Pelodiscus sinensis: one gene and its partners. The protein of the gene in region 1 interacts with the protein of each later gene in a pairwise test. Links are inferred from orthologs where the notes say so. Each region holds a gene or a part of one and is shown in the gene's direction. Other genes may lie near its edges. The genes, in order: AGTRAP, protein NKG7-like, ECPAS and TXN2.

Region 1 (7,037 bases):
GTGAGAGAGACAAGAAAGAATAATGAAGGTACCGTTAAAGGGAGAATACAAGCTCTCCATCTCTTTCCCTGTGTATGTGTGAAGCAAAGGTGATTGTGCGACTGCGTATCTTTAAAAGTCTCAGAGAGGTGGCCGTGTTAGTTTGTAACTTTAAAAAACGAGTCATCCTGTAGCACCTTAGAGGCTAACAAAAAGATATGAGCTCTGCTCATCTGAAGAAGTGGGTTTTGCTCACAAAAGCTCGTGTTACCATGTCTATATATTTGCTAGTCTCTAAGATGCTAAAGGACTACTCATTGCATATCTTTATACACCTTTAACAGCTGCAGCTCCCTTGGTTTTCCCATCTATCTTCTGCTGTCTGGGATTCCCTTTTTCCCCCTAACAGTGACTCTCTGTCTGCGTGCTTGTCTCTGACCTTGCGGGGTTCCTGCTGAGTGACTCAGCATGATAAGGAAACAAAGGAAAAGGACAAGAGAAGATACGTTCTCTGAACTAGTCCAGACTGAAGACAGAGAGACTCAGTCCTGGGGGGAATGTAAGCAGAGAGAGAGGCAAAAAGACCAACAGGATCAAGAGCGGTACGACCTCATTCAGAAGGACTTAAACCACAAAGCCAGTTGCTAGAGCACATTAAAGAGCAAACGCTAAAGCCTGGCACTTCAGCAGCCATTTGGCAACATGGAGAATGACTCCTTCTGGCTAGGGCCGTAGGCTTCATCCTTGAGGCTCCCAACCGCCCAGCAGCAGTGTCCCTGGCCTTCCATGTGATAGGACAATAATAACAACTGCTCTGAATGCACCTCCTGCCTGCTCTGATGCAGCTGTGTGCAGCCAGCTCGTACACTAGTTCTTTACAAATGGGCTGTGTCTACACTGGGCCACTTATTCCGGAAAAGCAGCCGCTTTTCCGGAATAAGCTGCAAGCTGTCTACACTGGCCCCCTGAATTTCCGGAAAAGCACTGACGATCTACTGTAAGAAATCAGCTGCTTTTCTGGAAAAACTATGCTGCTCCCGCTCGGGCAAAAGTCCTTTTTCCGGAAAACTGTTCCAGAAAAGGGCCAGTGTAGACAGCCCAGTAGTCTTTTCCGCAAAAAAGCCCCGATCGCGAAAATGACGGTCGGGGCTTTTTTCCGGAAAAGCGCATCTACATTGGCCACGGACGCTTTTCCGGAAAAAGGGCTTTTCCGGAAAAGCATCCTGCCAATGTAGATGCTCTTTTTCCGGAAATACTTATAACGGAAAACTGTTCTGTTTTAAGCATTTCCGGAAAAGGGTGCCAGTGTAGACGTAGCCATGAAGTTTAAGAAAAGTTCTAGTTTGTGAAAAGCCAGCTGTATTTTCCCTGTCTTATGAGACAGAAGGGAAAAACACCCCTCTCCCTAAAAACAATTGATTGTCCTTATATATATATACATGCCTCTGTAAACTCCACTCCAATTCATCTGATGAAGTGGGTTTTACCCACGAAAGCTTATACCCTAATACATCTCTTAGTCTCAAAGGCTAGTTCTATACTAGACCTAGAAGGTCAACTTAAGGTACATAACTCCAGGTATGTAAATAATGTAGCTGGAGCTGACACCTCAATCCAAATTTGGCACTGTGTCTCCACAGTGGGAGGCTGACAGGAACAAATGCTCCCATCAGCATCCCTTATTCCTCACAAATCAAGGAGTACCAGCACCAATCCGGGGGTGCCCTCAATGTTCGATTTGGTGGGTCCTTACTAGACCTGCTAAATCAAATGCCAGAAGATCCATTTCCAGCGTGGCAAGTGGAGATGTGGCCTCAGGTGCCACAAGACTCCTCTTTGCCTTTACACTATGTACACTAACACAAAGTAACACACTGCCTGGGAAATGCACACTGTCAAAGGGCGCTTTGGAGCAGGAATATTTCCCTCATGGTGATTTAGCCTTGACATGAGACATCTGCCCTTCAAAGGACACTCCACAGCCATCCTGCACTGGCTCAGGGGATGGTTAAATCTTTCCTTGCTTTTCTCCAGGTTGCCAATGATTGGAGTAAAGTGTCAGGGAAGCAAAGAATAGGTTGTGTCGCCAAGAATCACAGCTGGCATTGCAATGTCATTAATGTCAACAGGACAGTCGGGGAAAAGAGTCCCTGCTTTCAGGTTTTCAAAAAGTCTTGAATTCCTAAAGATGGGAGCATCCAGGACGTTCCCTGACCAGCCAACATTAAATGTCAGTAAATCACCTACCGTGATGCTTGCATGATGAAGTACCCCTTTCTGTTTATGCACTCAGCAGCAAAACAAGGGGTAGGGATGTTAAATTTAGATTAACTGGCTAATCGAATTGTTGATGCAAGTTGCATCGACTATTTGTTTAGTCGATAAGGGTGTCTCCACCTTTGAAGTGTAGCAACAGCCCTAGGGGCCAGCAGGGGACTCAAGCAGCTGACCCCGGGCTCCACACGGCATTGCTGCTTTGAAATGCCACGTGCAGCCTTGGGAAGTCCATCAAATCAAATCCATCTAGTATTTCTTGGAGGCTGCCTGGCCTGACAAGCCCCCACAGCAGGACACTCTTAATGGCTTTGAACACCTGGGTGGCCACTGCCTCCACCACAGATTTTCCAGCACCAAACTGGCTGTTCACCAACTGAGAGCAATCCAGCATTGCAACCTGCAGATAGTGATTGGCGGCACCTGTTTCTCTACTGTCCATGCGGTTCTTAGTCTCTGTAGGGTTGGGGTGAGCTCCGCACACAGTTCCAGGCATGTGGCCTTCTGCAGCTGAATGTCCCACAGCCACTTTTGGTGCTCTCAGATTTGTATCACACTCCAGCCTCATCACTGTTTGGACCCAAACCATCTCTCTAGGTGCCATCACTCAGTGAAAGCCTGCAACAGGTGCTCAGCTTCATCCTCTGTCTCCCTGCTGAATGTCCGGCTGCTATGGTAGACCTTGAAATGGACAAAACAGCTGCATTGATCAGCGCAGGATTCAGGTTTCTGGTAGCGAGAAGGGAAAACAGTGTGAAGGAGCAGATTATGAAATGGGAGAGATTTCTGGAAATTTCTTCCCAGACTTCCACAGTTCCCTGGGAGGAGTGATGCTACCCCACAGTACTTGGCCACAGCCCCATAGCACACTGCTGAAACTAATTTGGGGCGTGGCTGGAACACTTTGGGACTTTTTAAAGCAGTGACAGTGCAAGAATCAATGTCCTCAACTCCCAGGGCAGGCTAGTCACTGATGAGAAGTGGTATTTCTGGAGGTCAAAAGGATTTATCACCCTTTCCTGTGGGGCTGTAAGAACTGAGGCAGCAATGGAGGGATGTGCAGTGACATTAAAAACACCCTGACCCTTTAGCAGCTTCCAAAGAGGCCTGGCCTCAGGGAAGACATTTTTGCATGCTTGCTTTTAAACAATAACATTTGCACCTGCAAAAATCTTTCACGGTCACGGCTGATTTGCAGCCAAGGGGGTGAGAACTGGGAGCACTAGCAGCCAGAGGAAGAAGGGGCAGTGCAGAAAACGCAGTCGGGTTGCACACCCTACCTGCCTGGATACCAACCGCCCCTGTGGAATACTGACCAGCATCTGAGGTGGTGTGGCAGGTCGCCAGCTAGGGCATGATGGCCTGCTCCCTCACCAGGGGCTACACACCCTCTTACTGAGTTCACAGGGGAGTGGGAACAATTTGTACAGGGGCAGTGCTGAGAGTCATGGAATCAAACTGTACACCCTACAATGGGGACTATCCTGGGAACTACTTGAAGGGGGGCAGTAGCACCCCATCTCCAGCGCCCTGCTGCCGCCCCCCCTCAATGCCGCTTCGGGGGGGGGGCTATCCAGCTTCTTGGGTCAATTCCCCGCTCCCCTCTCTGGGGGTGTCTGTGTCTTTCTCCCTCTTCAGCGCTGGGCTGGCCGCTCTCGGGCTGGGTGGGCGTCTCTGTGCAGCCCTGGCTTGGGGGAGCCCCCGAGGAGGGACGCGGGGGGCAGAGCCAGCCCGGCGCCGGCGGCCGCGTCCCGCCCCCGCCCGGCCCCACGTGAGGCGCTTCCCGCACAGTCACGGGGGCAGGGCGGGGCGGTGGAAAGTTGGGAAGCGGCCGGGACAGGCGGGGGCGCCCCGCGAGCATGGAGGTGCCCGCTGTGAACCTCAAGGTACCGGGGCGGCGGGCCGGGGCTGAGCGACCCGCAGAGGGCGGCCAGGCAGCGGGCGGAGGGGCGCAGGGCTAATGGGGGGGGGGCCGAGCCCTGGCAGGTGGGTCCCGCGGGGCTGCAGCTTCAAGACCGCCCTGCCCGCTGGGCAGCCCCTCGGGCACCGGCCCGCTGCAAGGCAGAGGTCTCGAACCCCCGGCTGGTGGGAGAAGAATGGGGGGGGGGGCAGAACCGCCCCCCCGGCTGGTGGGAGAAGAATGGGGGGGGCCCAGAACCGCCCCCCGGCTGGTGGGAGAAGAATGGGGGGGCCCTAGAGCCGCCCCCCCGGCTGGTGGGAGAAGAATGGGGGGGCAGAACCGCCCCCCGGCTGGTGGGAGAAGAATGGGGGGGGCAGAACCGCCCCCCGGCTGGTGGGAGAAGAATGGGGGGGCCCTAGAGCCGCCCCCCGGCTGGTGGGAGAAGAATGGGGGGGCCCTAGAGCCGCCCCCCGGCTGGTGGGAGAAGAATGGGGGGGCACAGAACCGCCCTTAATTGTTCAAGAGCCGCATGTGGCTGACCAGCTGCAGTTTGGCCACCCCGGACTCGCGGCACCCGGTCTCCCCCGCGCCTCCCCGCAGCCCCCCGCGCCCGCACACCGGGGCGCAGAACACGCCCCCGGGCCCTTTGGGGCAGCGCTGGGTCTTTCACGTCCACCCAGCCGCCGCCCCCTGGCCGGGCTCTGCTTCCTCGGGAGGGGTCCTGCGGCGCTTCAAAGCGGGAGAGCCTGCCGGAGCCGTGAGCGGCACGTGGGAGTGAAGCCGGGGAACAGGCATTCTCCAAACCGAGGTCCACACTGTCCCCCTCGGAATGGACTTTTCTCTTAGTCGACAGAACCGTCGTTGAAAAGGCGCTTTAAGAATATTTCATTGGTGTGTCGCTGGAGGTGAGAAGTATTTGTACAGTGGGGGTGCTGTAAACAATCGCTCACCCCTCCTGCCCTGGGGTAGAGGGCCCATAAACCCTAAGGATGGCCCTGCCTGTTCTGTTCTAGGGCAGTGGGTGAGCCCGGGTCGCCCTTTAACTGGGATCCAAACTCTGTATTTTTTTAACATAAGAGGCAGCTGGAGCTGCAGACTCAAACCTGAAGGTCTTTGTCTTCCAGTAGGGTTGTATCCTCAGCTAGCATGGCTGAGACCCCCAGCTGTAAGCCCATGGGCCCAGTGTAGTGTGGATACTCAAGCCCTAGCTTGGAAATACCAAGTCCACACAGCTGGGGTTTACAGTGCAGTTTACAATAGACTTACTGTCAGGATAACCCCAACAGATGAAAACACATCAGATTGGAGGGTGGTTTTTATTTTGACAATGGCTCGGTAAAGGTTCCATGACTCTTGCTGTTGGTCAGGCCTTTGCCCAGGGGTCAAAATTCCCCCTCTGCTACAGGCTGTGCATGATCCTCACTGTGCACTCCAGAGAGCTGTATTCACATGGTGCAGTGTGACTGATACAGCTCTCCCTGATGCGCTGGAGGTACAAGATGTTTATTGGCTGTTGGTTTTATCAAATATAGTGACTTATTCTCATCTCAGGATGTTACCCATACAAAATTCTCTGTTGTTCACACATTCTAGGACAGGGATGGGTAATCTTAGGCCTGGGGGCCGGATGTGGCCCCCAGCTTGCTTGAATCTGGCCCCTGAGGCTTAGGGTGCCCTCCTGCAGGGAGCCTGTGCTGGCACTCCAGCCCCCTGCTACCCCCCATGGGGATGGAGCATCCAAAATCTACTAGGCTGGACCCCCAGAGGCTGTGGTATGCAAGGGGCATGTGGGAGAATATCTTTCTCTCAGTTGGGTGCCACATCAATGAGGGTATTTTGTGTGTGGCTCCCGACTGATTTTTCTGTGGGTCAGTGGCACCCACCCCAAAAAGTTTCCCCTCCCCTGCTCTAGGAGCACCCACCCTCACCCATTTATAGGGCTCAGGTATAACCTTTTCAATAGGCACCCACCCTCTTCCTTCTGTGGGCTCAGGTGTAACCTTACACTCTGTGGGTTTGTGGGGTCTTTTATCAGGGAATGAGCTTTACACGGTAATATCCTACTTAATCTCTCTGTATTAATCACTATCAAAGCCAGCATGCACATGCTAGCATACAGTGCTCACCGCTCCCAGTAAGTCAGATGAACTTGTCTTGATAGCCAGTCAGGTTCAGGTCCAGCTCGGGGACTCCAATTTCTGCACAGTGTTATTGGCACAGGGTCTGGCAGCTCTGATTTTGGAGCTGTGTCCTGGATTTGGCTTCCAAAAAATTCTCTTTTGGGCCCCAGTTTATATAGTGAAACTTGAGTCCTGCTTAGCTAGACTGTCATCAATTATTTTACTAAAATGTTACTAATCAGTCCTAACATACTGTAACAGAATTACCTAACTAACCATACCCCACCACTTCAATTGATATATACCTAGCAAAATTAATTACACAGCAGACTGAAACAATTAAAAACCACAGAGAGTTAGCTGTGTTGGTCTGTAACTTTAAAAACAATGAATAGTCCTGTAGCACCTTAGAGACTAAAAAATGATATATAGTACCATGAGCTTTCATGGGCAAAGTCTACTTCTTCAGATGAGATCTCATCTGAAGAAGTGTGTTTGCCCATGAAAGCTCATGATAATATATATATGTATAAAACCAGAGACAGAGATCATACAAACAAACAATAGAAAAGTGAGGATCATAATCATACAATGAGGATTCCATAATCCCACCTAAAGAGTTTCTTGATACATGAGATGCTATCAAACTAAGTTTTCTTTACCCATCTTGAGATCTGTTTCTTTATCTGGCGTTATTGGTTGTCATTAGGGCTATGTCTAGACTGCACGCCTTTTTCGACAGAGGCTTTGTCGACAGATACTGT
Region 2 (7,412 bases), on another chromosome or scaffold:
CCCAGTGGCCACAGGCTTTGCGTGCGCCCCTGGACACGCTGTCCCGCCCCCGCGCCTCTCCGGGGCAGTGGGAGCGCGTCCCGCCGTGCGCCCTGGCTGGCCCCAGCGGAAAGCCCCGCGCGCCCCGTGTCCACAGAGCGGCAACGCTGCGCGGGCGCTTTTCGGGAGCCTCCCCCCCCCCCCAGCCATAGTCCGGGCCTGCTAACCTCGGGCTCTCTGCGGGGGGGGGGGGGGGGGGTCACTCGCTGATGCCCAAAGCGCCGCTGCCCTGGGGCTTGGCGTCTCAGCGGCCGCGTGTGCGCAGCGCGGCGGGGCGAGGCAGGAGAGGGGGCGAGCGGGCTGCGGGCCGGGTGGGTTGCGGGGGGGTGGGGAGCCGGCGGGGCGCTGCGTTTGAGGGGGGAGAGCGCGAGCGTGGAGTGGGGGGGCGGGGCTGCTTCTGCAGCGGGAGGGGGAACTAGAGGCCCCGCACTGGGGCGCTGACACTTCTTCCCAGGCCGCATGGGGCAGCAAGAGCCGCGCTCCCCCTGCGCTCCCCCTGCAGGCCTCGGCTCCGCTGCCCTGCCTGTTGCCTTGGGCGCCCCGGCTGTCCCCTGGGGACTGGGCAGGGTACCGCTGGCTGCCACTGGCTGCCACTGGCTGAGGGTCTGTGGCTGCTGGCAGGCCTGGGTCTTGCATGTGCTCAGTGGCCAGACTCTACCCCTTTAAGGGCCCCGGGCTGGGGGAGAGGAGAGTTTTCCTGGTTGTGCCCAGAGTGGCCACCAGGGGAAACTGGGAAGGGCTGGAGGCCCCCAATTCGAAGTAAGTGTCTACACAGCACTTCTTTCGAATTAGCTATTTCGAATTTGGTGTTATTCCTTGCAGGATGAAGTTTAGCAAATTCGAAATATGAGCTCCACTATTTCCAATTTATTTCAAAATAGCAGTTTGTATGTGTAGACGCTATTAAAATTAATTTGAAATAATGGCTGTTATTTCGAATTAACTTTGTAGTGTAGACATACCCCAAGGTTTTTATGGCAGAGAGTATGCTAATGACGGACTCATTAGCATGAGTCTGATGTCATTAGCATATGTTTTGCCAATGGTTTTTGCACAAAAAGAAGCAGCACAGACGCTTCCATTTTGCGCAAAAAAAAACCTTTTGTGCAAAATCCTAGACCCTGTCAGGACTCCTGGGCGCTCTCTCAGCTCTGGGAGGGGAGTCGGGTCTCGTGGGTTATAGCAGGGGGCAGATACATTTCAGCTCTAGATAAGAACATCAGAATGGTCCTTCCAGCCCAGAGGCCTGTCTGCCAACAGAAGGATTAAACAGAAGAGGCAATCAGCACGATCCATCCCTGGTGCCCATTTCCAGCTTCTGGTAAATGGAAACTAGGTTTCGGTAACTGGTGTTTGGTTCTTTAAAGGATTTGAAACCACAGACAGAGGAATACTTCCTTTGGGGGCTAAACAAAGATTTTATTTCTATTTATTTTTATAATTAATTTTTCATTTAAATTAATGTACTATCTGTGATTCGTTGCCAGCTTTGTCCACATATTCACTCTGCCGATACCATTATTGGACCTAACCAGTTGAGTTATAAGATTAAGAACAAATATTCCTGCTCATCCAGAAATATAATTTATGCTATCATGTGCCGAAAGTGTCCGTCTGCTATGTACATTGGACAGACGTCTCAGACACTTCGCCAAAGGATCAATGCCCACAAAACAGATATTAGGATCACAAAGAAAAAATAGTTTCTTGCCATTTCAACCAGAAAGGGCATTGTCTCAACGACTTGATTACCTGCATCCTGCTTCAAAGACCTTTTAACACCAGACTTGAAAGAGAATCCTTTGAACTGTCATTCATACTTAAATTCGACACTTTTCACCTTGGTCTAAACAAAGACCATGACAGGGTCTATGATTCTATAAGGGGAGAGGGCCCAGTGGGTAGATCTGAGGGGGCGCTGGGAGCCAGGACTGAGAGGTTCTCTCCCTGGCTGGGGAGGAGGGAGAATCATAGAACCATAGAGCTGGAGGAGACCTCAGAAGGTCATCAAGTCCAGCCCCCTGCCCTAGGTAGGACCAATCCCATCTAATGTGTGGAGTCTAATGGCTAGAGTGGGGGAGGGGGCAGAGGTCAGGACTCCTGGGTTCTCTCACTGGCTTGGGGAAGGAAGTAGGGTTTAGTGGTTAGAGCAGAAGGAGCTGTAGTGGTGAGGGGGGCGATGGCCAGTTTTGGGGAGCAGAGTGGGATATCTTCGTACCTTGCTGCTGGGTGCCCCCTGCACACTCTCTCCAGCTGCACCCAGGCCCCCAGCTGTCCCTCCCAGCAGATGGGGTCAACAAGAAAGGGAGTGGGGCTGTTACTTAGCAGGAAGGAGCTGGGGGGGTGCTTTGTGGGCAGAGAGAGTATCAGAGGAAAATGTGCGTCTGTCCCTGCGTACCCTGTGGGATCGAGGCACACAGCCCTACCCATCCCTGCATACCCCACCCAGCTGTACCCTGATCAGTCCCTGCATACCCCATAGAGCCATACCCTGATCGATCCCTGTATATCCCTATCCCTGCGCACCCCCCAGACAGCCGTACCCAAATCCCTGTGCACGCCAACCCCGCTTGCTTCGCAGGTGCTGCTCCCCAAACTCCTTTGCTCCCCTGAATCCCGCCCAGAGCTGGGGCTCCCACAAGGCCACCAGGGGGCGTAGCCGGGCACAGTGACCAGCAGAGCTCCGATCTGGCCACCAGGGGGCGAGGCCGGGCACCGTGGCCTGCAGAACCCCCCACCCTGCCACCAGGGGGCGTGGCCGGGCACAATGGCCTGCAGAGCCCCAACCCGGTCACCAGGGGGCGTGACCTGTCTGGCTCACTCTTGAGTCCCGTGGGCCCAGCTGGGGTCCGGGGTCCCTTCTCTAAGCCAGAGAGCAAACCCCCCGCCCTGCCAGTGCCCCAGCGTCCCCACCCGCCCTGCCAGCGCTGCTCTCTCCCCTGCAGGGCCGGTGGATCTTCCACCTACGTGGGCTCCTGCGGGCAGCTCGCATCGCCCTGACTGCGCGGCTCTCGCTGGCTTCGTGGCGGCTGCATCAGCCCTGAGCCGCTGCTCCCTCCCGGCTCGTCCGCGGCCCGCTCCGCTGCAGGCAGCGCCTGTTCCCCAGCCGGGCCGGCGGGCCACCCCCTCTGGGGCTGGTTACACGGGGACCCCTCGCCCGGCGCTGGGATGCAGCCACCTCTGGGGCGGGGCGCGCGGTGCTGGTCTCTGCTCCGCTGTTTTGAGCCTCCTGACGCCCCGAGACCCGCGACTGCCCCGGCCGCAACAGTCGCCTGAGCCCGGGGGAGCAGGAGCAGCTGGCTGGGGAGTGACCGGTGTATGCAGGAAAGCCGGTGTGTGTGTGGGTGTGTGTGTGTGTGTGTGTGTGCGCGCGCCCCCTGCCTTGTGTGTGTGTGTGTCTGCGCGCCCTGCCCTGTGTGTGTGTATCTGAGCCCCTTGCCTTGTGTGTGTGTCTGCGCGCCCTGCCCTGTGTGTGTGTGTGTGTGTGTGTGCGCCCCTTGCCGTGTGTGTGTGTGTGTGTGCGCCCCCTGCCTTGTGTGTGTGTGTCTGCGCGCCCTGCCCTGTGTGCGTGTGTATCTGAGCCCCCTGCCTTGTGTGTGTGTGTGCGCGCCCTGCCCTGTGTGTGTGTGTATCTGAGCCCCCTGCCTTGTGTGTGTGTGTGTGTCTGCGCCCCTTGCCGTGTGTGTGTGTGTGTGTGTATCTGTGCCCCCTGTCCTGTGTGTGTGTGTGTCTGCGCCCCTTGCCGTGTGTGTGTTTGAGTCTGCGCGCCCTTTATCCATTCTCTCCCTCCTCCCCCAGAGCCGGGGGGAGAACCCAGGGGGTGTGGAGCAGCCATTGCCCCCTGCAGTCAAAGCGGGGGAGGGGAGGGCTTGTCCCCTCCTCAGCGGTGACTCGCCGAGCTGTGCCGGTGGTGACCGCCCCCCCCCCCCCCGAACCACAGGCACAGGAAGCGGGGGGAGGGGGGTGCAGAGAGAGAAACAGCTCGGCGAGCCAGCGAGAGAGCGCGAGGCGGGAAGGGGGCAGGTGACGGGGGGGGGGGGGTTGAACGGACTGAGGAGTTGGGGTGGCCAGAGGCACCTAAAGGGGGTGTCTGGGGAAGGCGAGACACGGGGTGAACAGGGCTAGATGGATATAAAACGTGTAGGGGATGGATGGGCCAGGGACACTGGGATCGGCTGGGATCCTGGTACAGCTGGCTGGGGTACGCAGGGATCAGGCTACACAGGGATGGGGTATGGCTGGCTGGGGTATGCAGGGATCGGGGTACACAGGGATGGGGTATGGCTGGCTGGGGTATGCAGGGATCGGGGTACACAGGGATGGGGTATGGCTGGCTGGGGTACGCAGGGATCAGGCTACACAGGGATGGGGTATGGCTGGCTGGGGTATGCAGGGATCGGGGTACACAGAGATCGGGGTATGGCTGGCTGGGGTACGCAGGGATCGGGGTACACAGAGATCGGGGTATGCAGGGCAGGGACAGACACACAGTTTCCTCTGATGCTCACTCTTACCACAAAGCCCACCCCCTTGCTCCTTCCTGTCAAGTAACAGCCCCACCTCCTTTCTCGGTGACCCCATCCGCTGGGAGAGACAGCCGGGGGCCTGGGTGCAGCCGGACAGAGTGTGCAGGGGGCACCCAGCAGCAAGGTAAGGAGACGCCCCCCTTGCCAATATAGCTCCCCTTTGCTCCAACCACTAGACCCCACTCCCCTGAGCCAGGGAGAGAACCCAGCAGTCCTGGCTCCCTACCCCTTCCCATCTAACCACTAGATCCCACTCCCTTCTCTAAGCCAGAGAGCAAACCCAGCAGTCCTGGCTCCCAGCCTCCCCACTTCCACTGTGCCCTGCCCTAACCATTAGATTCCTCTCCCTGCTCCACAGCCAAGGAGAGAATCCAGGAGTCCTGTCCCCCAGGCTCCTCCCCCTGCTCTAACCATTAGACCCCCTCACTGGGCTGGGGAGCCCTGAGCACTGGGAGTGCCTTAGGTTCCCAGGAGCCCAGAGGGGGCTGGGAGAGGGTCCAGGGTAGCTGTCCAGAGGCAGTGGAAAAGAATGAAACTGGTAGATGGATAAGGGGCCAGATGCCAGGGTAGATGGGCCCATGGAGCTGATCTGTGGCAGCAGGACACCAGGCTGGGGGACCATGGGGCTGAGCGAGAAGGGTCTGTGGGGCTGATCCCCCAGACAGGGGCCCAAGTTCCTCAGAGCAGCCGCCGTGCAGCTCAGGTTGCAGGGAAGACATGAGAATAGCTCGGGAAGTGGTTGGGGTGTGAAACGCTGCTGGGGAGAGCAGTAGCAGCACTAACCATTAGCAAACACTCCTCCCCACCCACACTGGAGCTAGCGAGAGACCCCGGAGTCCTGGCCCCCTCCCCCCAGCTCTAACCACTAAACTCATGGCCTTCTGAAGGGCAGGGGAGAACATGAGTCATGGCAGCACTTTGACTCAGCCCTGGCACCACAGCAGGCCCAGCCGCAGTGGGGGGGGGGGGGGGGGATGCCGGGCAGGGGGGCTGGGTGGGGGAGAGGTTGTGCCCGGGGACTGTCCCCAGCTCGGGGTTCCTCTTGCAGGTCTGTAGCTGAGCCAGCCCGTCTCGGAGGGAGATGCAGGCCTGTAGCGTGGGGAGCTGCCTGCTGGCTGCGCTCAGCCTGCTGCTGCTCTGCATGGCTCTCAGCACCGACTACTGGCTGGTGGCCTATGGCGCCAAGGACACGTTCCACAGCGGGCTCTGGCAGCAGTGTACAGTGGGCGGGGTGTGTGTGTCCCCTGCACAGGTCAATGGTGAGGAAACAGCCGGGGCTGGGATGCAGCCACCTCTGGGGTGGGGCACGGGAGGTGTTTACATGGGGACTCCTCGCCCTGCCCTGGGATCTGGGGTGGGGGTGGAAGGTGTTCATTTGGGGACCCCTCACCCTGCCGTGAGATGCAGCCACCTCTGGGGTGGGGGTGGGAGGTGTTCTTGTGGGGACCCCTTACCTGGCGCTGAGACATGGCCCTCACTGGGGTGAAGCAGTGGGCATCCATCCCGATAGGCCCCGATCGCCCAATCTTGGGACATGCACAGAGAGCCCTACCGAGTCCCCGCTCCCTCTGCTCCAGGCTCCCCCTACACCCACTGAGGGTTGGCTGGGGATGGTGGTTCCTCGTTAACCCTTCTTGTCCATACCCTCCCCACAGGGTATATACAAGCCACCCGGGCCTTCCTGATCCTGGCAGCTCTGGCCGCGGCCGTCTGCATCCTGTCCCTGCTGTCCTCCATCATATCCTGCTTCCAGAGCCCCGTGAGCCTCAGCCTCGTCGCTTCCCTCTCAGCCTTCGCTGCCGGTAGGGCCCAGCCCCGGGCCTGGCCTCTGGGGGGTGCTGAAGTGGGGCAGGGATTGAAGACTGGGGCTGGCCCCTCTGGGGGTTGTTGGAGCAGGGCTGACAGGCCCAGGGCCCGAGAATGGGGCTTGGGGCTTGGCCCCTCTGGTGCGGGTGCTGGAGTGGAGCTGGGAGGCCCAGGGGGGCAGAGAATGGGGCACAGGTCCTGCCCTCTGGGGGGTGTCAGAGCGGGACTGGTGCCCAGGGACATGCAATGGGGCTCAGAGCCTGTCCCCTCATGGGGGCACCAGCCTTTAGGACAGGGAGCCTGGAACCTACTGGCTCAGAGTGTCTACCCCTCCCTGCCCCAGCTGGCTGCACCCTGGTTTCCATGGCCGTGTTCAGTGCCGAGTCGTGGGACAAGAACAAGGACGGGCAGATCCAACTGACCTTCGAATGGTCCTTCTACCTGGGCTGGGCCGCCCTGCCGCTGCTGGTCCTGAGCGGTGAGCTGGGGGGTCGCCATGGCGAGCCGGGCTGGGACTCCACAGGGGAAGGCTGCTGGGGCAGGTTGGGGGGAGGGAGCCCATTTGGAGGCCGGGTGCTGTGGGGGCAGGCGAGAGGCATTGTGGAGGGAACAGGGTGAGTGGGATTGTGGGGGGCTGGGGAGAGGGTGCCATGGGACAGCACGGGTGGACTGAAGTTGTGGCTCTCCACCCTGGCTGAGTCTCTGTCACCGGGTATTAGACAAGTACAGGGATGGGCATGAATTTATGATGGGGGCTCTCCAAGAATTTGAAAAGTGGTCAAGGGCTGCACTCTTCCAAGAGGAGGAGGAGGTGCGGGGTCTGGGATGGAGGTTGGGAGCAGAAGGGTGCTTGGGGTAAGGGAGGGAGTTTGGGTGAAGGAGGCAGTTGTGACCTGGGGCACTGGACTGGGGTGCAGGGGGTTGGATTGTGTCCCAGGGCAGGGAATTGGGGTACAGGAGGGGGTGCAGGGATTTGGGTTGTGAGCTAAGGCAGGAGCTAAGGCAGGGGTTGGGTGCCAGATCTGGGAGGCGATATGAGTA
Region 3 (7,402 bases), on another chromosome or scaffold:
CAGACTAACCCTTGGTTTTGATACAATAGGCTGAGGCATTTTCTCAAAATCAGACCATTTCCAGTAAACTGGGAACTAGTCACACAGTTATCATAAAAATAGCCTCTTTGTTAATTTGAACTGTGATGCTACTGAAATGGCAGTCTTGCCATGTTTTTTTTTTTTTTTTTTTTTTCATTTACATTTATTTCTCTCTACAGGCAGTCCCCGGGTTACGTACAAGATAGGGACTGTAGGTTTGTTCTTAAGTTGAATCTGTATGTAAGTCGGAACTGGCGTCCAGATTCAGCCGCTGCTGAAACTGATCAGTTTCAACAGCGGCTGAATCTGGACGCCAGTTCTGACTTACATACAGATTCAACTTAAGAACCCCAGGCATCCCCAAGTCAGCTGCTGCTGAAACTGATCAGCGGCTGATTCCAGGAAGCCCAGGGCAGGGGCTTCCTGTAGTCAGCCACTGGTCAGTTTCAGCAGCGGCTGACTTGGGGACGCCTGGGACAGAGCAGCTGGGGTGCTGCTGGGTTGGTCCAGTAGCACCGCCGCTCCTCAGCGCTACTGGATCAACCCAGCAGCACCCAAACTGCTCTGCCCCAGGTGTCCTGATTCAGCCGCTGCTGAATCTGACCAGCAGTGGCTGAATCAGGACGCCTGGGGCAGATCAGCTGGGGTGCTGCCCGGTTGGTCCAGTAGCGCCCAGAGCGGCGCTATGGGACCAACTGGCAGCGCCCCAGCTGCTGTACCACAGGTGTCCGGAGCAAAGCCATGGAGCACAGGGGCAGCGGGACAGCCCAGACGCGCCGTGGCTGTCCTGCTGCCCTCGGGCTCCGTGGCTTTGCTCTGCTTTGTTCCCCGTCCCCCTGGTCTGCAGACCAGGGGGACGGGGAGCAAAGCGGCGGAACACGCGGGCAGCGGACAGCCCAGACGCGTCTGGGCTGTCCGCTGCCCGCGTGCTCCGCGGCTTGGCTCTGCTTTGCCCCCCCGTCCCCCTGGTCTGCAGACCAGGGGGATGGGGAGGGGCAAAGCAGAGCCAAGCCGCGGAGGACGCGGCCAGCTGACAGCTGTCAGCTGACTGCGCGCTCCGCGGCTTGGCTCTGCTTTGCCCCACCCCACCCCCCGTCCCCCTGGTCTGCAGACCGGGGGGGGGGGGGCAAAGCAGAGCCAAGCCTCGGAGCGCGTGGGCAGCGGACAGCCCTGTCCGCTGCCCACGTGTTCCGCCGCTTTGCTTCCTCTCCCTGGTCTGCTGGAGACCAGGGAGAGGAACGGCCCCGTTTGTAACTGCGGATCCGACGTAAGTCGGATCCGCGTAACTCGGGGACTGCCTGTATATTAACTTTTCCTTCTCTTGCTTGTTTGTTCCCATTTTCTTAAATCCTTTTCTTGACATGAACACAACTAGCTCTTGCCAGCCCATTTTTGATAGACCCAACTCTCACCACAGGATGATAACATTTCACTTAAGCAGTTTGTTGCACCTTTTGCTACAAAAATAAAATAGTTCACTGACAGTCTTATTATCCAATTTTTCCAGAACTAGCTTCTTCAATTCTTTATCAGCTTTAGTCAGTTTGTGCAGGAGGAAACACTGTTGTTAGGTGAAATTCACAGTCCCCTCAGTTTGAACTCCTGTGCTGTAGCCATTCTGACTAGGGCTTGAAGCAGTTTGGTGTCCTGTGTCTTTGTCATCTTCTGGTGACAGCAGGCTAACTGTGCATGCACCATCACTAACACACGCAACGCTTCCTGGTATGAGATCACTCTCCCCTTCCATCTGGATTCATAGGGTGCATATACATAGTACCCTAAACTCGAAATAAGATATGCAATTTGCACTATGCAAATTTCATAGCTTATTTTGAGTCTATTTTGAAATAAAGCGCTATTTGAGCCATTCCTTACTCCTGGTAGAATGAGGTTTATAGGGATGGCGAAATAGCTTGTCTGCTATTTTTCAAAATAGCGGACATATTCAGAAGACATGGGATAGCTATTTTGGGATACCTCTAGTATCCTGAAATAGCTTTGCAGTGTAGACATACCCATATAGAGCAAACTGCAACTTCTAACACTGGAAACCCTGATTTTAAAAAAAAGAACAAATAGGTAATGGATCAATGCCAGAATATTTCCAGTCCATTTGTTCTTCAGTCTCTAAGGAAAACGGCTCAACTTTCAAGGATCAGACAAGCTACAGCTATTATAAAAAAGCTGGGCACTGTAGGGTCTTCTGTAAATTATACTATGGAAAGATATGGAGGAAGGGAATGTGTGTACATTCTATATAAGCAGGGCTCAACAAACTATAGAATCTATTCGCCTGTGGCGAATAGATTTCAGCTGTGTGCCCCGTTTACCAGCGGTGCGCACATCCACAACGCGGCTCTTGCACATGCGCAGTGCAGGGCTGGCGAGCGACTTTTGCCGCTGTTTGTCAAGCCCTGTATATAAGGAAGTGCTAATATATTTGTTAGGTTTTGGGTTTTCCGTTATACAATTCAACCTTATGTTTAAAGTTGCTTAGAATTAACATTTGTCTTTTCTATTAACAGGGTTCGATAATATCTCAGTGAGAATAACCTCATGGCTAAAATAAAGGCTTTAAATATGAAACTTCTATTCTTTCCCAAATGCAGAGGTGTTTTTTTTTTTTTAAATATAGGTACCAGGAGGATAGGAGACAGAGTTGTTCCTTGGTGGATTTTTGTATTATACCTTGATGTTGGTACCCATTGAGAGTTGAAGCACTAGATGAGGATTGTTAATGTCTTTAAAAGAGTATTTGTAAATTAGAAACACTGAGGCTGTCTCTACACCGGCAAGTTATTCCAGAAAATCAGCCGCTTTTCCAGAAAAACTTGCCAGCTGTCTACACTGGCTGCTTGAATTTCCGGAAAAGCACCGATAATCTAATGTAAAATCATCAGTGCTTTTCCGGAAAAACTATGCTGCTCCCCTTTGGGCAAAAGTCTTTTTCCGGAAAACTGTTCCGGAAAAGGGCCAGCGTAGACAGCACAGTGGTGTTTTCCGCAAAAAAGCCCCGATTGCGAAAATGACGATCGGGGCTTTGTTGCGGAAAAGCGCGTCTAGATTGGCCACGGACGCTTTTCTGGAAAAAGTGCTTTTCCGGAAAAGCATCCTGCCAATCTCGACGCACTTTTCCAAAAATGCTTTTAATGGAAAACTTTTCCATTAAAAGCATTTCCGGAAAATCATGCCAGTGTAGACATATCCAGAGAGTGGAGGAGTCTAATGGAAATGCTTTAAATCCATATAGTTTAATCCACTCGTTTGAGCTCTAATTTAGAATAAGGCACACCTATTCTGGAGTATGAGTGTCCACACATGAAAAGTAATCGAATATGGCAGGATGTGAATTTAAAGCTGCTTAACTATTCCCCATTAAGTCCATGTGTGGACACACTAATTCCAGCATAAAAGTGCTGCTAATTCAGAATAAACCACTCTTATTCTGGAATAGGAATATTCATACATAGATACATTTAAAAAACAGCAAATGGTCTGGTAGCACTTTATAGATTAACAAGAGATGGTATCATGAGGTTTTGTGGGCACAGCCCACTTCTTCAGATGACTGGAGTTGTGAGCTTAGGATGTGCAGATCCAAACGAAATAGGGGAGAAGGAAAAAAATGGAAGGGTGTGGGAAACAAGGAGCAGAGGGTATAAAAATATAAAAGGGAAAACCAAATAGGTAGAACTGGTAATCTATGAGCACCTAAAGATTGGATAGTTAATCAGGATTAGCTATTAGGGCATAACTTCCCATGTAAAAGTCTAAAGTAGCTTGCAAAGAAAAACTAAGGTAAGGGAACAAAGTCCCTCCTGGAGCAGCTTGAGGGTATGGCCAGGACCCTAGTGGCTGTTGGGAGGACAGATGGGAGGAAGTAGCACCCCTCTGAGGGTGTTTCACACTTCCTCTAAATCTGTGCCTGGTCGGCATTGGCTACAAGTCCCGGGCAACACCTTTCCCAGCTAGAAAATCCTCCAGACTGCTACAAGCAGCTACCACAGATAGGGGGAGAAAGGCAGCGGCGTCGCTGTGCTGCTGACCCGAGCCTCTCCACCACCCCGACCCCCTTGCAAGTGGAGAGAAGTGCCTCGGGAGCCATGGAGGTCAGCCTGGACTCAGGTCAGTGGCCCGGCCTGGGGGCAGGCCGCGTGCGGGGGCAGGGCGAGGGAAGGCGCCCAGGGCCGCTGCGCACATGGAGCGGCCGCGGGGCTAGTGCCTGGCGCCCGTCGGCGAGCGGAGCTCTCGGGGCGGCCGGTGTCTCAGGCGGTGGCGTGGCGGAGGGGAGGGGAAAGCGGCCCGGGCGGGGGGGCTGGGACGATGGCTCAGCTCTTTCTAAATATAAAACTAAAGCGAAGCGAGGGAGGTTGGCCTGGGGGAGGGCGTGAGAGCCGCGCACCCTCCCCCTCCGCGGGAGCTGCCGGCGGGCGCGGCGAGCAGGCGGGCGGGCGCCCCGGGCCAGGCGGCGGCGGAGGGAGAGAGCCGGGCGAGGAGGGGAGGGACCGGGGCTGGGAGCCACCCTGAGCGAAGGGAGCCTCCGGAGCCGCGCGCCCCCGCCCCTCGGCGGCTGGCAACATGGCTGCGGCCGCCTCCGCCGCCCAGGACGAGCTGAGTAAGTGGGGCTGCGCGCGGGGGGGCTCTTGGCCGACAGGACCCCCCCTTCCCCTCCCGCCGCGTGTCCGCGCTGGGGCCGGGCCGGCGCTGCGGCGGGAGCGGGGAAGGGCTGTGAGGGGGGGATGCGGGTTTCCTCGCCCCAGTGTCCGGGCGCTGCGCCCCGGGGCCCCGGCGGGGGGAGCCGCGTTAGGCCGCGGCGGTGCGCAGTCATGGTGCGAAAGGGAAAGCGCGCTCTGAGGGGGCGAGCGCCCGCCCCGCTGTGTGTGTGGGGGGGGGGGGCACGAGCCCCAGCCTGCGGCTCCGGGGGCTGAACAGCCCCGGCACAGGCCGGGCAGCGCCGCAGTGACTCTGCTTTCCTGCCCGCTGGGGCCGGGGAGCGGCCCAGCCGCGGGGCAGGGCGAGGGGAGGGTGGCGCCGGCCTGAGGCTGCGCGCCCCGGCTCTGGAGTGCCCCTCCGCCCGGTGTCCCCGTCCCTGCCAGGGGCCTGGGCCCAGCTTGGGGAGCTGAGAGTTTCTGGGCGTGGGGCCCGCCGCAGGAACTGCTACTGAGGCCGGCTGGGAAATGTAGTCCTCGGTCCCAGGCTGTCAGCTGAGCCTGGCCCAGTGGTTAGAGCAGATCAGCTCTGCCTGCCCTGCTCAGTGATTGCAGGGGGGCGCCAGCTCCTCGCTGGGTGACCTTGGGCAAGCCCCGTCCTGGCCACCTGGACTCCGTTCTCCATCTCTGATCTGTCATTAGTTATTCTCCCTTATCAGGCAATAGCAGTGGTTCTCAAAGTGTGTGTGTGTGTGTGTGGGGGGCGCGCTCAGGAGCCATGGGGGTATTACCTGGGGGATTGTGAGCTGTCAGGCATCACCCCGAACTCTGCTTTGCCACCAGCATTTATGATAGGGCTAAACATTTTTTTAAAAAGTGTTTTTTAGTTTGTAAGGTCTCAGGGGGTAGCCATGTTAATCACTTTAAAAACGGCAAGTAGTTCTGTAGCAGCTTTAGAGACTAACAAATATATCAGGAGTATTTGTGGGGGAAAAACCCCCCGCTTCATCAGATGAGCTCGAGAGGGATAACATAAACCCAGAATTTATAACAGAAGAAAAAGGGGAGGGGAGAGGTAGAACCTGTCAGTTATAGGACCTGGGAAGTCACATTCAGAGGTTTGTTGTGTGAAAGTGGTCAGGAGTACAAAAGTTTGAAAACTGCTGGACTAGAGTATTGTGAAGCTTAATGTTTGTAGAGTCCTTAGAGATGCATGGATCAGAAGTGCTACAGATGTGTAAAGTATTATAAAGTTCTGGTCACTTATATTCTTCTTCAGATTTTCTGCTGAAAGCACACTGTAGATACAGATAAGCCTTCAGTCACTGTATATTTTTTCATTATAAGGAAAAAATATGAAAACTCTCCCCTTCCAGAGCTTGATATGTTTTGTTTGGATTTAAAGTAGAAACGTAATGTAAGAATAAAATATATTGGAAAACACATTTATCCATTTCAGTCTTCTTTTGTGCAAATGATGTTCCTAATCCCGCATTAAGAATTGCATGGCACACTGTGGGCCCATGCAGTTCTCAGTGCTGATGAGGATAGAAGTCAGAATTTGAGTAATGTAGTTGTGTAAGTTTAAAAATACTCATTTGCTGGTCAGAAATCGACACCCAGTTTTGGGTGGTTTTTTAACCTTCACATCTACTGGTGACTCTGGTGCAGTAAGTATAAACCTGTCTCTGAAGAAGTATAAAATGTTAAGGGAATGTTTTCTTGTTGCTGCATCTCCTGAGGTATAACTAGTTTTCAGATGATGTATAACCCAGCTGGGGGAACTATGAGCCTGATGTGTGGGCTGGGGAAAATGGTGTTTTGGACTTGACTTGGTTGTGGAATTGAATTACCACCAGAAACTCAGCAGAAGAAAGAAAGCTATTAAGGATTTTCAAGCTGCAAGCTGTCATATTTAAACCACACGTTGGTGTTTGCTGTGTAACTTTTCTGTGTCCTCTCTTTGGAGAGAACTCTAGTTTCTATAAACTGTTGGGTGAGGGGTATAGACAATGGAACACTAAAATACTAGTGGAGTCCCTACTGTCAATAATTCTGTTTTTTTGTTTTCAAGTCTGACACAAATGTTAACATGCTTACTCAAATGAGAGTTGGGATGAATCATTGTCATGACCATTTTCTGTAGTCTAGAAAAATTATTCCAACTCTATGGTCCCCCATCAGCCATGAAATTCTTCCTCAACAGTCAATGATACATCACTGTTGTTTCCTTTGCTCTCACACTTTGTGAAATTACTCAGGCCTTCTGACCTGAGGGTAGTGGGTATTTTTTTTTTTTTGAAAAGGGATGCTGGTGGTTTTTCTAATGCTACCTCTTATGAATAAATGGAAAAGTTGTGCAGTCAAAGATGAACTTTAACAAGAAACATAAGTAGTACCGGGAGAGGGGAAAACTGGGCAGACTTCTCAGGAAGAAGGATGTGAGAGACTAAAATTAGACATCACATTGTATTTTGTTAGGGATCTGATTGGTAGGATAATGAGCCTCCTGTAAGAGTAACCATGACTTTGTTTTAGACCAGAAATCCAATTTATCCCTGTTTTGTAGATATTTAGCTGTAATAAACTTTGGTCTGTAGAAGCAATCAAATAGATGAGCTGTTACTACCTTTTTTGTTGAGGGGGTGGAAAAAAGTGCTTGCTTAAACTTTTTCCATGAGGATATTCATGATTTGGTAGATGAACAACTTAAACAGTGATTGCTTGAATCC
Region 4 (7,472 bases), on another chromosome or scaffold:
AAAAAAAAAAACCTGCTAGATAAGCTCACAGAGGATGGATCCAACAACAGCTATTAGCGAGAATGGGTTGGAATTGTGTCCCCAGCCTCTGTTTGCCAGAAGCTGGAAATGAATGACAGGGAATGGCTCACTTGATGATGACATGTTCTGTTCATTCTCTGTGGAGCACCTGGCACTGGCCACTATCAGGAGACGTGATACTGAGCTAGATGGACCTTTAGTCTGAGTGTGGCCAGGTCCCTTGAGCAGCAGGGTGGCTTAGTGGTTAGGTCCCAGAATTAGCTGACTGGGTACAACCCCCTACCGCTGGTGACCCAGGCATAGGAACTCCGGCCTATTACCTGAGTATAGTTCTTAAGTTCGAGGCATGGTCCAAAGGCTACATCTAGACTGACAAGATTTAGCGCAAATACTCTAAACGCAAGAGTTTTTGCGTTTAGAGTATTTGAGTAAGGGAGCGTCTATACTGGCATGTGCCTTTGCGCAAAAGATTTGCTTTTGCGCAAAAGCATCCGTGCCAGTAGCCGCTCTCTTGCGCAAGAAAGCTCCGATGGCCATTTTAACCATAGGGCTTTCTTGCGCAAGAAATTGGTGTTGCCTGTCTACACTGGCCTCTTGCGCAAGAACACTTACCCCTGAGCAGAAGCATCAGAATATTTGTGCAAGAAGCACTGATTTCATACAGTAGAATGTCAGTGTTGCACAAATACTCACGGCCAGTGTAGACAGGCAGCAAGATTTTGTGCAAAAGCAGCCGCTTTTACGCTAAATTTAGCCAATGTAGACACAGCCTAAGAGTCCAAATTTTTTCCTCCTCTGTGGGGGTTCCTCATAGGTTCTCCCCCTTTCCTTTGAGGGGTGAGATTGGAGGCTTACATGCCCTGAGGGCTGGCCAAGTAGACAGGCTCCACCTGGGGGGTCCTGCACACAGCAGAACCAGCTCCTGTATCCTCACTGGTCAGCCCCTAACTGAGCCATGGTCTTTCCTTTTATACTCCCTCCAGGCCTGGCATTGGCTACAGGTGAAGCGGGGCAGAGCTAGCTGGGCCAAAAGGCTTTGTTTAACTCCTGTACTGACAAGCTCTCCTCTCTTCACTTCCTCACACTGACCCAGTGTGGCTGTTCTTATGGGACCATTGTGCTCTAGAGGATAAATGAGAAGCTGGGATTCATTGAGGCTTCTCCTTTTAGCTGAACACTTCACAATGCCTGAAGATAGTGTTGCGTTTATCTTATGAACCAATGTCTGGGGAAGCAACTGGGAATCACAGGTGTATGAAGAGAAAGAGAGAAGAGATGCACAGATGCTTTTGATGTGACAGTCACATTTTGAGGACCAGTTGGAACCTCTTCATTCGATGCTGGGTCCAGCACATTCTTGTGTATACTTGAAGATTTGTATGTTCAATGAATACAGAAGCGGTACCTTCAGAAGCAACATTTTTCCTGCACTTTGGTGGAGACAGCTAGGTGCATGCCAATATATTTAGTTTTAGTGTAGGGCAATATGATGTCACTGCCTGACAGAGGTCCCAAAAGCCACCCCACTCTCTCTAATGATGAGCAGCTAACCTGGGAAGCTTAGGCCCAATGTGAGCTGTCACTAGATTGGCCCTGCTATCCTTTCTGTTACTTTAATTGGTGGAGTTGGTATTCCATGCCTGCTGCTCCTATTTAGAATAGATAGTCCTTGTATTTTTTTTAGTGCAAATAGGAGAGATATTTTGCTATGTCCTTCCAAAAATCTTCTAGGCTGTGTCTACATTGGCATGATTTTACGCAAAAGCATTTGCTTTTGTGCAAAAACTTGCTGCCTGTCTACACTGGCAGGGAGTTCTTGCGCAAGAACACTCTGTGTGAAATCAGTGCTTCTTGCACAAGACCGATGATGCTCCCGCTCAGGAATAAGCTTTCTTGTGCAACTGTTCTTGCGCAAGAGGCCAGTGTAGACAGGCAACATGAATTTCTTGCGCAAGAAAGCCCAATGGTTAAAATGGCCATCAGAGCTTTCTTGCGCAAGAGAGCGTCTACACTGGCACGGATGCTCTTGTGCAAAAGCACATCTCTTGCGCAAAGGCACATGCCAGTGTAGATGCTCTCTTGTGCAAATACTCTAACACAAAAACTCCTGTGTTAAAGAGTATTTGTGCAAAATCTTGCCAATGTAGATGTAGCCCTAGTATTTTTCGCTCTAGTTAAAATGTGTATTCTAGTTTTCTTCCCAGATGTTCCTATTTATAGCTTTCAAATGTTGCATGGTAAATTGTGCATATCAATCAAATGGAGACAGACCTCTGTCACTTCCTGGAAACCACTAAGCAGGGCAAAATGGTAGGAGTTTGAGCTGATTCTGCCTGCATCCCCATGATTTCTGTGAAGTAGAGGAGGGGCAGACTGGAATCAGCTTCCCACTCTCCCTATATCCATAAGAACATCTTGCATTTGTGCTTCCTGCTAAGATGAATGGAGGAAAAAAGGTGGACCTTATTAATTCCTTCCCATCAGCTGTTTCCTAAGTATTTCCCAGGGACCTCTTAAACTTTCTTGGTCTTTCTATAAAGACCCAGTTCCCATAGCTTTTTGCTGCTGGAGTTTGGGGAGCAGTTGAGATAAGCGAGGGACTGAAAGGTATCACTTTTAACTGGAAGCACTGGAGCCACGTCTACACTTCAGGCTTCTTGCGCAAGAACTGTTTTGCGGAAGAGTACTTGTGCAAAAGTTCTTGCGAAAGAGCGCATCCACACTGCCATGTGCTTTTGTGCAAGAGATGTGCTTTTGAGCAAGAGCGTCCATGGCAGTGTGGATGCTCTCTTGCGCAAGAAAGCTCTGATGGCCATTTTAGCCATAGGGCTTTCTTGCACAAAAACTCTTGGCTTCCTGTCTACACTGGCCTCTTCCTGATAGGGAGCATCAGAGATCTCATGCAAGAAGCCCTGTTTCCTGATGCTATACTGTAGATTCACTTGTGCAAGAACGCACATGCAGTGTAGACAGCTGGCAAATTTTTGCACAAGAACAGCTATTCTTGCGCAAAAAGCCTGCAGTGTAGACATAGACTGGATGAAAATGTTGCTGCTATCAAAAGATCCACTTAGTAGCTACTATCAAGTTGATTGGGAGAAATAGGGTTGGCCTTTCACCTGTTGTAAATTGGTATTGCTCCACTCTCTTTAATGCAGTTACATCCATTTACACCAGCTGTGAATCTGGCCCAGAAAGAGGCCATTGAAAAGTCTATATTCACCAAGCAGCCCCCACAACTCACCATGGGATTCTTACATGTGGTCTGTCCAAAGAGAATGGAATTAGGAAGTCCACTGAACACTGACAGACCTGTCTGACCTAAAGGTTCAGTTTTGTTGTCGGGGAGACACTAAAACCAAGAGCAGATCCACTCGACATGTGTACACACGCATCTATCTGTGCACACACGGTCAGAGCATCCTCTTCTCTTTCACTGTAGTGTCCCACACAAAATCCTAAGGCTGTCAATTCCTAATATGTGAGTTGCCTAAGAATGCAGTTCTGTTCTGAAAAGAGACTAAGAATGGCACTTTCTTTACTAGTTTGGTCCCTGTTATGTGTCAGAATCAGAAACACCTGCATCTGAAAGTGTTACTGTTTATTTCTGCATGTAGAGCCAGCAGCTGAGACAATGAGCAAGATTAGATATGAGCCAGAATCAATAAACAACACAAATTCCAACTTAATTTCTCCCATTGTCCCTCTGGGATCCCAAGCAGGGATGGTAGTTAGGAAAATCGCTCTGTTCATAAAGTAGAGAGGTTGCATCTGGATGTCACACAGGAGCAATATTTGCAAACTACCATGGTGCCATTTTTGTAATGACTTTTCAGAGCATAATTTCATTTTAATACTGATGCCATTTCTCTGATGTGAATTACTGCCTGTTGTAATTGGTTGTACGTATTTTATATGGCTATTCTTCCAGTCCAGTTACAAAAATGTTTGCACTGCTTCCACGCTTGGTTTTTTAACCCTTTGGTCGGGGGACACCAGCTGTACTGATTGTATAGGGAATCACGGTGCTGTTATGTGGGGTTTTGCTTTACGTAGCAGGTATTTGTGTTACTTCCTGTCCCATCCTTATTTTTGACACTTGCTATCTGGTGTCCCAAGCAAGGTGTCACGTGGACAAGCCCTCACCAGGCCCGGGATGCGCTTTGTGAGCAGGGCAGGGGCACAAGCAGCTGGCTCTGGCCCAGTCCCGACCCTGCAGCGGGTGAGCACAGCGGAGCCAATCCGCAGCCCCGGCTCACGTGGGGGGAGGGTGCTCTGCTGCTGGTGGATGACGACAGCCGGGCTATTGAACAGCCCTTCTCCGCAGCCAATCAGCACCCAGGAGCCCTCCCCTGTTTGCAACCAACCAAGAGCTAGTTACCCGCGGATAGTGTCGCCAGCCAATGAGCTCCTAGGATTAGACAACAGCGAGCCGGAAGTCGCTGTTCAGGGGCCGATGAGCGCGCGGCGCCCCTCGGCCAACCCGGGGCGCAGGACTCCTGGCGCGCCTCCTCCCTCGCCACAGCCAATCCGCTTCCGGCAGCCTTTGCGTCACTTCCGCCGCCGGGAAGGTGAGTCGTGGGGCATCTGAGGAGTGCGCCGCCGGGACCCAGCGTGCGGGGTGCGCGTGCGGGCCAGGGCCCGGGAAGTGGGCGGGGCGCTGCAGTGGCGCGGGGCGCTCAGGGCACAAGGGACCACAGCGCAGCCGGGCCAGGCAGCAGTGCGAGAGGGCGCAGGGAGAGGGGCAGGGTTAGCATTGTGCAAGGGAGCAGCGCAGCCCGGGGCACCGGTGAGGCCTTGGAGTACTGTGGGTTAGGCTGGCCTAGCAAGGGGCATAACGTCACTGGGAATGGGGCTGGCATGGAATGGGGGGCACAGTGGGCTGAGAGGGAGGGGCACTGAGGGGCTAGCATGGCAGAGATGCGGTGGCAGGGTACGGGGAAGGAGCATGGGCAGGGCTGGCATGGCAGAAAGAGGGGCATTGGCTTCACTGTAGGAAGCAGGAGGAAAGTAGCAGCAGCAGCAGCAGCGTTCCTGGGGCTGGAGAGTTGTTGAGAAGCATAATGTCCGGAAATGCTCCTTCTCTGCTCTCCTTTTCTCCATGGCATGGTTGATCCAAAATGCCTTTTTTCCTTTCATTATACAGATGGCTCAGAGGCTCATGCTGAGGAAAGTTCTATCCGTCACCCTCCAAAAGCTCTCTGTGCCGCCTGTGTTGATCCTTTCCAGGGTGTCAGGAGCACCATGCTACCCTAGATCACTTGTCCCTCTTACCCAGGTCACTATGCCTGCTTCCCTTAGAACGTTTTCTACTACACCTGTCTGCAGGGTCACATTTAACATCCAGGATGGGGCTGACTTCCAGGACAGAGTTATGAACAGCCAGAAGCCGGTGGTGGTAGACTTTCATGCTCAGTGAGTATTAGGTGTGGAGTCTTGGGTCCCTCCTTCTTTTCTCTTTATATCCTGGAAGTAACATGCTGTCACTATGGCTTTGGGCAAGTTGGTTACTTTCCTTTTGCCTAAGTTTCTACCTCAGTAAGGAAGGATAAAAATGTCTTTCTATCTTTCTAAAGTGTTTTTTGATCTATGTGGGGAAAAAATCTGACCTCATATAGCACTATGCTTTAGGCAAGTTTGCTGGTATACCTACACTGGCAAACCTTCCTAGTGGAGACACAACTGCTACAACACACACAAGCACTTTTGCTTGTGTTTATACAGGTTCCCAGAACAGAATAAGCTATACTGGCAAAAGGTTTCTGTGTGCTCCTCATTCCTCCCTCTCTCACCCTCCTCCCCATACCTGTGCACCTTTGTTTCCATTTCCTTCCATGGCACTGTGTGGCCCCATTTTCTCCATATCCCTCATTATCTCCTCCACCCATTCTGAAGCATTTCCTGACCTCCCCTTCATCAGGATTTCTGTATGCCCCCCATTACTTTCACCCCTCCTGCATATCCCATTTCCCCCCTCCGCCGTATGGCGGGAATTTTAAGTGCACTCTTATTATCCTTTTTCTCCTATTCTAGAAGCTCTGTATAGCTCCATTTTCCCTCCTTACATAACCAGGATTCCTCAGTCTCTGTTCCCAAACACCCAGGGTTCTGTTTCTCTCATTCTCTCACAAACACTAGGGATGTTGAAATGCATTTAATTAAGTTCCCGTGTAACTGCTGAAAAAATCAGCAGTTACACAGTTACAGGCAGAGGCAGGCAGCTTCCCAGGAGCCAGTGCATGCAAGAAGCCAGCTTTTAATCTGGCTCCATGAGTACTAGTTCCCATCTGCCCTCTCCTCTCCTCTCCCCTCTTCTCTCTATTGCTGCCTCTGATACAGCCTCTTTTAAATCAGTTACATGGCTACCGGGAGCATATATGTAACTACACTTTCACATTCCTCATGCACACACACTATTTGTGCACATTGTTATTTTCTCTGCTGTTTCACTTTCTGGGAAAGAAGTCAATCAGGATGTCAACATGTTAAACGCTTGGGAGAATGAGCAGAGATGAGATGTGGCATGTTATTCTGGAAGGCCTTAATGCCTGCCATCAGCCAGGTTTTTTGAGCTGTAGCACTTTCAGAAATGCTGGTTACTGTGTTAAAGAGCTGGCAGGGTGTCATGTATTCCCCATTTTGTTCCTTCCGATTTTCCAGATTTGTTCCTTCCCTCAAATCTGTGGGGTTCTGGCCATTGATTCCTAGAAGGTTTGCTGGAATTGATCGGGTGCAGCTCTCAGAAATTTGCTTCACACCTCAGTGTTGTAGCAGCATAGCTACATTGCTCAAGGGAGTAGAAAAACCACATTCCTAACTAGCATAGCTAAGCTGACAAATCTTCCCTTTCCCCCCCCACCAGTACAGCTATATTGAGAGAAGAGTTGATATAACTGCTGTTGATATAGCTATTGTCATTCAGGGAGGAGGTGTTCCTGTACCAACAGAAAATCTGTCATTATAGGCTGCCTCTGCACTAGAGGACAATGCTGGCCAAAGCGTCATAGTGCGGATGTAGCCACAAACACAGAGAAAAACTTTTGAGTTTAGCATGAGGTTATAGCAAATTTGGCAGTAAGTATGCTACCAATATCTGTATACAAAACATAATGCTTGTGTATGTCACCAAGATGTTAACATAGATCGTGTAACTCATACCGATTCATAGGCTCTGTGCTATGCCCAGGTTTTAAATGATCCCTTGCAGGCAGAGATGACCTGTACTTGCTGATTGTGGAAGACGGGGCACACTAGAGGTTTGGGCAACCCCACCAGACAAGACCCCACTTATCCTCAGCCTCCCTTCCTGGAAAGTAATGCCCCTTCCTGCAGCTCCTAGCTGTTGCTCCTTCCTCTCCCCACAGGGCTACGTCAATTGGCTCTTCAAGCAGCTGCCAGGCAGGGAGGGGGCCCAGCCACCCCCTGTGACTAAGCAGGATGGCAGAAATCTG

Evidence for each region.
Region 2: the proteins of AGTRAP (region 1) and protein NKG7-like interact in binary tests that used the Homo sapiens proteins (3 or more experiments, as listed by UniProt). The two-hybrid records come from large-scale screens. The link is inferred for Pelodiscus sinensis from reciprocal best matches to the Homo sapiens genes AGTRAP and NKG7.
Region 3: the proteins of AGTRAP (region 1) and ECPAS interact in binary tests that used the Homo sapiens proteins (3 or more experiments, as listed by UniProt). The two-hybrid records come from large-scale screens. The link is inferred for Pelodiscus sinensis from reciprocal best matches to the Homo sapiens genes AGTRAP and ECPAS.
Region 4: the proteins of AGTRAP (region 1) and TXN2 interact in binary tests that used the Homo sapiens proteins (3 or more experiments, as listed by UniProt). The two-hybrid records come from large-scale screens. The link is inferred for Pelodiscus sinensis from reciprocal best matches to the Homo sapiens genes AGTRAP and TXN2.

The regions. Positions count from the first base shown.
Region 1 is NC_134733.1:8,001,671-8,008,707, forward strand, and holds the start of AGTRAP (type-1 angiotensin II receptor-associated protein), read left to right. Parts: upstream 1-4,017; 5' UTR 4,018-4,112; coding exon 4,113-4,139; intron 4,140-7,037. UniProt on the Homo sapiens protein: Appears to be a negative regulator of type-1 angiotensin II receptor-mediated signaling by regulating receptor internalization as well as mechanism of receptor desensitization such as phosphorylation.
Region 2 is NC_134734.1:3,104,282-3,111,693, reverse strand, and holds the start of protein NKG7-like, read left to right. Parts: upstream 1-4,393; 5' UTR 4,394-4,689; intron 4,690-5,613; 5' UTR 5,614-5,646; coding exon 5,647-5,824; intron 5,825-6,220; coding exon 6,221-6,367; intron 6,368-6,714; coding exon 6,715-6,849; intron 6,850-7,412. Other genes in the region: protein NKG7-like, read right to left, coding at 1-189.
Region 3 is NC_134716.1:10,165,423-10,172,824, forward strand, and holds the start of ECPAS (proteasome adapter and scaffold protein ECM29), read left to right. Parts: upstream 1-4,387; 5' UTR 4,388-4,599; coding exon 4,600-4,636; intron 4,637-7,402. UniProt on the Homo sapiens protein: Adapter/scaffolding protein that binds to the 26S proteasome, motor proteins and other compartment specific proteins. May couple the proteasome to different compartments including endosome, endoplasmic reticulum and centrosome.
Region 4 is NC_134711.1:93,362,856-93,370,327, forward strand, and holds the start of TXN2 (thioredoxin, mitochondrial), read left to right. Parts: upstream 1-4,452; 5' UTR 4,453-4,592; exon of another isoform or gene 4,593-4,642; intron 4,643-5,167; coding exon 5,168-5,436; exon of another isoform or gene 5,437-5,439; intron 5,440-7,472. Other genes in the region: FOXRED2 (FAD-dependent oxidoreductase domain-containing protein 2), read left to right, coding at 5,350-5,399.